Linked DNA regions of Saccharomyces cerevisiae S288C. The gene in region 1 interacts genetically with each later gene. Each region holds a gene or a part of one and is shown on either strand. Other genes may lie near its edges. The genes, in order: TPO2 and FCY22.

Evidence for each region.
Region 2: of TPO2 (region 1) and FCY22, changing one suppresses a phenotype caused by changing the other (phenotypic suppression), as found in Saccharomyces cerevisiae (one study listed by BioGRID).

Annotation. Positions count from the first base shown.
Region 1 is NC_001139.9:763,262-767,113, forward strand, and holds TPO2 (spermine transporter), read right to left. Parts: upstream 2,346-3,852; coding exon 501-2,345; downstream 1-500. UniProt on the Saccharomyces cerevisiae protein: Cell membrane polyamine/proton antiporter, involved in the detoxification of excess polyamines in the cytoplasm. Recognizes spermine, but not spermidine.
Region 2 is NC_001137.3:274,721-278,972, reverse strand, and holds FCY22 (purine-cytosine permease), read right to left. Parts: upstream 2,402-4,252; coding exon 809-2,401; downstream 1-808. Other genes in the region: fatty acid synthase CEM1, read left to right, coding at 1-675; FCY21 (purine-cytosine permease), read right to left, coding at 2,820-4,252. UniProt on the Saccharomyces cerevisiae protein: Probable purine-cytosine permease.

The DNA.
Region 1 (3,852 bases):
ACGTAAAGAGCTCCAGCAGGATTTTTGAGTTGCATAATGTCAATTAGCGTGTTGATTATCCCGCGCTTGAAATTATTATGTAGTACACTATAGATGTATGTACACACATATACATGGAATAAAAAGTTAAATGTGATACTGAGAACATTATTTGAAAACAAGAGACATTGGCCACGAGGAGTGTAGCGGCAATTACAATAATGTTAAAATTTAAAGGTGCAACTGTGTCGTCTTCGAATAAGCAGGCTTTATGTGAGAAATAACGGTGTATGACTTCAGGAAGAGTAGCAAGAGCGATCTTGATATTCAGAAGCTGCAAAACAATAATACTTTGATATTTCGTTAAAGAGTATGTAGAAATGTCCGACGTTTTTTTGAGAAGTTCCTAATATAAAATATTAAAAATTAATTTTTCAGAATATATGTGGAAATTTGTTATTTTTGTATCGTATATATGAATGACTAGAACATCATTATTTTTACCGGAAACTTGCACCAGCTTACATCTCAACACTGTCGATGGAATAGTCCTTCTTGGACAACTTATGTCTCAAGCCCTTACCCCAGTAAGAAAATGCAAAAGGTAAAGCAATCATAGCAGTGGAGATGAAAGCCAACAACCAAGAACCCCAGTGCAAATTCAATTTGTGGTACATTTGAATGGTAAACAAGGGGAAGGCAGCACCACCGGCGGATCTTAAGAAAACCTTTGTAGCCAGAGCACTGGATGCGTATTGGACGTAGCAATCAATAATGTAATTATTCAATGAATAATAAATCAACACCATACCGAAACCAAAAGCTAAACCAGCTGAAGCTGGACCAACCCAAATAATATGTTTATAAGCGGTAGCACCCAGGATCCATAGAGCAATTGCAGCAAATGGAGCACCGATCTTAGCACCTAGCAAACGATCTTCAGGAGTAGGTTTACGCTGTTTGACAATTTGTAAATATTTGTTTTCACAGTAGAAAGTTGTGGCTAACGCCCAAAGAGCACCGATAACAATAGGAATAAACATTAAACCCACAAGGTTATCTTTGTAGCCATATAGTTCACCGAAAATGACAGGGAAGGCAAAGAAGAACGCATATAGTAGAGAGTAAATCAAACACACGTAGAAACAAGTGGCAACTAGAACAGGTTCAGTGACAGCGAAGTACAAAGGTCTCAACAGACAAGCCCTCATCATTTCACTCATACTGACACCTTGCGCTTCCTGCTCAGTCATAATCTTGGGATTACCAGTTTCCTTTCTTAATCTAGCAGCCTTTCTCTTCAAGATAACTGGAGCGTACGTTTCTGGGATGGCAGAAGATATGATCCACATAACACCTGCAAAGGCCATATTGACCCAGAAAATCAGGTCCATACGTCCGGTAGAAACGGAAATAAAACCGTTAACTAGTGGACCAACAACGGGACCAACGTAAGGAGCAAAAGCGAAGAAAGCAATAGCCTTACCTCTTGTTTCACTTGGGAACATATCGGCAATAGACCCACCAACTAAACACAAACCAGATGATGACCAAACACCACATAAAAATCTACAAGCTAAAAGACAACCTAGATTTGGAGCTAAGGCGCAAGGGATATTGAAGATGACATAAAGACCCATAGAAACAAAGTAAGCAACTCTTCTACCGTAAAGATCACTAACAGGAGACCAAATCAAAGGACCCAGCGAGAACCCAATAACCATTAAAGAACATGATAAAATAGCGGCTTCCATACCTACATGGTATTTCTTTTCAACGGTTCCCAACCCACCACTGATACAAGCAGAACCGTAGGCAACGCAAATAACTAAGATGGACAACAGGACAGTGTAACTCCAACGAACCCATGAGGGCCAATTGTGAGGGTTTTCTGGATCACCAGTAACAAAAGTAACGAATTCGATCTCTGGATCTAGCTCGTTTTCACCGCTCTGGTCTTCACGTTCTTCAGTTTCTTCCTCTTCCATTTCTTCTTTACCTGTGGATGAGGAATTGGTAGCGGTACGGTTCAATTGCTTTGTTCTAGTACGAGATAAGGCAGAGGCGGTTCTACCCATAGATTGTAAGGTAGCCACTGGAACCAGCCCAGATGGTGTTTCCATGGTATATTCTTCAGGGAAAATGTTATTCTTAGCAGTTTGTGGCGCATTGATATCAGGCACTGGGGCGGCTGAAGTGACACCTAAATCTTGTAAAGACTTGACGGTCTCAGTCTTAGTTAACTTAAGTTGATTTGCACGAGAGTTGGTTTTTGAGGGGACATACTGTTGAGGTTGTTGGCCCTCAACGTCCACCATGGAAGTGTTTTGTGAGTTGAATGAAACAACAGATTCTTGATCACTCATATTTGTTTTGTGTATTATTTTTGTGATTAGTTATTAGATGGAATTAAAGGAAAAATATCAATGGACAAAAAATATTAGGGTGTAGAAATAAAGAATAATAGCAGGGCTTTGATAAAAGAATGTATCAATTACTTTTTGAAATTAAAGTTAAAATTAAAATTCAAACCGAAAAAAAAAAAAAATTAAATATTAAACTTGATATAGTAGGAGAAGGAAGTTGTATATTGTTCTCTATAAACACAAACAATAAAATGATATATTTGTTTTCTTATTTCTTCTTGATGTCTTCAGGAAAAAAGAACATAAACAAATACAAAAAAATCCTAGTACGAAACCTCAAAAGGGTGTATGCGCAATGTATATATATAGCAAGAAAAAAAAATAAACAGTGGCATTACAGTGCATGCGGATGGCAGTGTTCTTCGGTGGCTTTTTCGAAAAACCTAGAATGCGTTTAAAAGACTCAGACACCTAAGCAGAATATGCGAATGACTCGTTCAGTAAAATGCGACGCGACAGTTTGTTTTCGTTCTGCGCTGCTGTGTTCTCTATTCTTTTGAGATGAATTTAACGGCTATGGAATCATCTCGAGAAATCGGTTCTAGTAAGGCACCAAGACATTATGTCCCTCGGGAGGAGAAGGGCGCACGCGTCAGGCTTCCACGACGTCCGCCGTGCATGCGCTCTCGCATTTTTAAGGTTTAGTGCGGCAGGCGACTGCGCTGCGGCCAGCCCGTGAGACCACCCGAGGGAATTTGAGTAAGCGCGCCCATTGCGGGGTTTTTGCGGTTTGCGCTGTTTTCCGCACGAGGTTTCTCCGGACACAGTTAAGCAGTATATTTCACTCGGAAGCGCCGGAAAATTTTTTTAAGCGCAAATATATTCAGGTAAGCAGCAAAAAAATACTTTTTCCGGTGGCCCGTGATGTGTTTGTAACAGCTTCTGCGGTACTTTGGGCGGCTAAATGGCAAATAGATCAGGGGAAGGGTTTTTGCATAGGTACAAAATAACCGGATTTTGGGTAAGATTCGATCTTCGGCACTTGTGGCGAAGTAAAAGTGTTGAAAAAGTTCGCGTAATAATAGTGTTAGCCGTTTCAGCTTCGTCCATAAAGTACATATCCACAACTCTCATGGTGCGAAGTACAAACATTGAACGGCAGCTGTCTTGCTCAGCTAGTGGTATGTAAGCAGCCGCATTCTATTTTTATTTTCGTGCCTTTAAGTGTTAAAACCTGAGGCAGATTTTTTATTTTTTTGCATTCCCCTTCCTTTTTGCCGTAATGGCGCATTCAGTGCTGATATATTTATACTTCAATGGTGCTTCTCCTTACTTTTCTTATAGAAATAAACATCAAAACATGAACCTCAAATTCATCCGAAAATGACTGCGGCCACTCACCTTGCTTCTTCCCCACAAATATTTGTGTTCTCTGCTTTCTTTGTGTGTACTTTGTCTTGCTCTATATAACTTTCTCTCTGCTGCTGAGTCTTCAAATAGGTAGATT
Region 2 (4,252 bases), on another chromosome or scaffold:
CATCCGTTAAGTTTAGCAGGTTTCATCAGAGCAAAGTCGATTACTACAAACGGGATCTCTAGACCCTTTGATACACAACGTTCTGGATTCGTACTTGGTGAAGGATGCGGAATGATTGTCATGGAATCGCTAGAACATGCTCAAAAGAGAAATGCAAACATAATTTCTGAGCTCGTGGGCTATGGTTTAAGCAGTGATGCCTGCCATATTACCTCCCCTCCTGCTGATGGAAATGGTGCCAAAAGAGCAATAGAGATGGCTCTAAAAATGGCTAGATTAGAACCAACTGATGTTGACTACGTCAATGCACATGCTACATCAACTTTACTAGGCGATAAAGCAGAGTGTCTGGCAGTAGCCTCAGCACTCTTACCAGGAAGATCCAAAAGCAAGCCACTGTACATATCCAGTAACAAAGGTGCAATTGGCCATCTTTTAGGTGCAGCTGGCGCCGTAGAAAGTATATTTACAATTTGTTCCTTGAAGGATGATAAGATGCCGCATACCTTAAACCTGGACAATGTTCTGACTCTAGAAAATAACGAGGCCGATAAGCTACATTTCATAAGAGACAAACCTATTGTGGGAGCTAATCCGAAGTACGCATTATGCAACAGCTTCGGATTTGGAGGAGTTAACACATCTCTTCTCTTCAAGAAATGGGAAGGGAGTTAATATTATTAAACTTATATATATATCCCATTATAATCGTTTTTGAATTATATGCTATCTATTCGAATGTCGAGATTTATCCATTAAAACCAATCATTTCAATGATTAGCAAAAATATTAATCAATTAACATTTAGTCATCGACCGAAATATTTGAGTTCTAAAGGTCTTACAATGTTATAGATGATGAACGCCCAACTTCCGCCTAACTCGAACCCAATGTCACCGCCGTACTCTCCGATCAAACGACTGATCTCACCAACCCAATAAGTTTGGCACATACCCAACGCTACTCCAAAGGCACCAGCAATTAAGGCAGCAGTACCTGCGATACCGATAGGTAGATGCTCCCAATTATCCCAATCATCAATATTGTAAGCACTGAAGGAACGCCTATAAATAAAATGCTCTGAACATGCAATGGCAATATAAATAGCCAAATAATAACCAATGGAATCCATAAAATTCTCCATAAAGCCGTCAAAGTAATAGGTAGCAGGGATGGAAATACCTAAAGTGGCAGCATTACCTGCCATTGTCCAGACTACTCTTGGTATTTTAGCCAAAGGTGCCCACAAAGCTTGAGCGGATAAAGCGACAGTGTACATTCCAGGGACATTATTAGCAACAGTTGAAAGAGCCAACAAAACACAGCAGAATTGACCGAATCCGTTTAGAGAGTTAGGGACCAGGATAGCATATATGACACCACCCATGGCGTTTTTATCATAATATGACTTCCAGGTTGGGTCATTAAGGGCCGCCATACCGCAAGCAGCACCAAGAATCATGGTGAAAAATAGAGGGAACGCTAGACCGGCTACTACGGAAAAAAAAATTTTGTATTTACTTGTGGTCTTTGGCATATAAACAGTGTAATCTGCTGCATAAGTCGCCCAACCCGCAGCTGACCCAAAAACAGATGAACCAAAAGAAAGAACACCACCTGCAGTAGTTGCACCCCCTACCCATTCACCACCTTTAAATTTTCCTGATCTCGATAGTTGGGCAATAATGACCAAAAAGGCAGCAAAATTGGGTACCCACGACCATTTTTCGTATGCATGAACGACACTGTAACCAAAAAAAGTCACAAGCACGGTACCACCAGCAATAATCAAACAACCTGCCCAAATAGGACAGTTGTGCCCAGAGCCTTCATTCACCATATTCAAAAGTTGAGCAGAAACAGAAATATTTAAAACACACCAACCGACACAAGCAATGACATTAACAAGAGAGAAAAATCTTGCTGTGATGTTACCAGCCAAATATCTCGATAGAATCATCTGTCTTAGGCCCAGTTCTACCCCAAAAAGTGAGAATAATGCAACAGGGATCAAACCCAAAATATTGAAAAAAATGATAACTAAAACACTTTGGCCGAAATTTAGGCCAAATACTAGAGGACCCAAGGCACCTACGGAATAGGCTACAATCACCATATTAGCTGAAAACCATATAGTGGCGGCATTGAGTATCGAGTCATCATTTTTTTCATCTTCTGTAACTGGTTCAATACCTTTCGTCTCAGCATTTAAAGCAGCTGCAATCCTATTGAAAAAGGACGGCTTATTATCAATGAATTCGTTGGTTCTATGCAATTCTACACCCTCATAGTATACATCAGCGGCGGAAGATTTTGTGTCCAGAGCTCCAGATTCGAGGTCCCTTAGTTCACTCCCCGCATCTTTTATATCGACCATTGACATGGCTAACTTTTCTGGCATACTTTTCTTCGATATTTTAGTCACCTTCTGAAACACCCTCCATTTCAATCTGACAAGCGTATCTTATAACAAACAATTTGGTTATCATGTTATATATTTGTCTGGTTTACAAATCACCAGTGCAAAAACAGACTACATTTATGTCATCTGCATGCATTAGGCTTTCAACAGACTAGAAATCAAAATTTATCAACTAAACAGAAATAATGCAACGTCTCATAAAGTATTTACTGGCGATCGGAGTAACTCTTAGAACCACAGTCACGTGATATGCTTATCAGAATTGCGTTATCAACTCAAATGAATGAGCCGTGATAATTTAATTAACATACATGCTATTTTTTAATGATTTGCATACTAGAGCCATTTATGTTACATTACAAAGACTAAAATAGCGAAACATTTAAATGAACTTTCGTTAACGACCAAAGTACTTGAGCTCAAAGGGTCTAGCAATGTTGTAAACTATAAATGCCCAACTTAGTCCTAACTCGAATCCAATATCACCACCGTAGTCTCCGATCAAACGGCTGATCTCGCCAACCCAATAAGTTTGGCACATACCCAACGCTACGCCAAAGGCACCAACAATTAAGGCAGCAGTACCTGCAATGCCGATAGGTAGACGTTCCCAACTATCCCAATCATCAACATTGTAAGCACTGAAGGAACGCCTATAAATAAAATGCTCTGAACATGCAATGGCAATATAAATAGCCAAATAATAACCTATGGAATCCATGAAGTAATTCATGAAGGTAGAAAAATAGTAGCAGGCAGGAATGGCAATACCCAGTGCGGCCGCATTGCCTAATAAAGTCCAAATAACTCTTGGGACTTTCGCAAGAGGTTCCCACGTGGCTTGCACCGATAAAGCAATAGTATACATGTTGGGAACATTATTAGCGATAGTGGACAGAGACAATAACACGCAACAGAACTGACCGAATCCGTGAACAGAATTAGGGACAAGAACGGCAAAAGTTAAACCACCTATGGAATTTTCGTCATAATACGTCTTCCAGGCTGGATCGCCGATAGCTGCCATTGCTACAGCTGCACCAAGTATCATAGTAAAATATAATGGTGTTGCTAACCCAACTACAAGCGAGAAAAAAATTTTATACTTGTTCGTTTTCCTTGGCATATAAACGGTATAGTCAGCCGCATATGTTGTCCAGCCTGCAGCAAACCCATAAACTGTTGATCCAAATGAAAGCACGTTACCTGCTGTAGTAGGACCAGATGTCCACTCCCCAAGGACAAATTTTTTAGACCTTGCCAAACGAGCAATTATTACCAAAAAAACGGCAAAATTTGGTACCCACGCCCATTTCTCGTAAGCATGAATGACTCCATAGCCGAAAAAAGTTACAATTACAGTAGCACCGATAATAACTATACAACCAGCCCAGAGAGGACATTGATGACCGGGGTTAACCATATTCAGGACTTGCGAGCTTGCTACGGTATTAACGATACCCCAACCGATACAGGCAATAAAATTGATGAAAGAGAAGATCCTGGCTGCGATATTGCCAACTAAATATCTAGACAAAATCATCTGTCTTAGGCCCAGCTCTGCACCGAAAACAGAAAAGAAAGCAACTGATACCAAGCCTAAGAGGTTAAAGAAAATAATAACGAAAACGCTTTGGCCGAAATTTAGATCAAACACCATAGGCCCTAGGGCGCCAATGGCATAAGCAGGCAGAACCATATTTGCTGAAAACCACATAGATGCAGCGTTCAGTATAGAATCATCAGTTTTTTCATCTTCTGTAATCGGTTCAATACCCTTTGTCTCGGCACTTAAACCAGCAGCAATTCTGTTCAAAAACGACAGTTTAG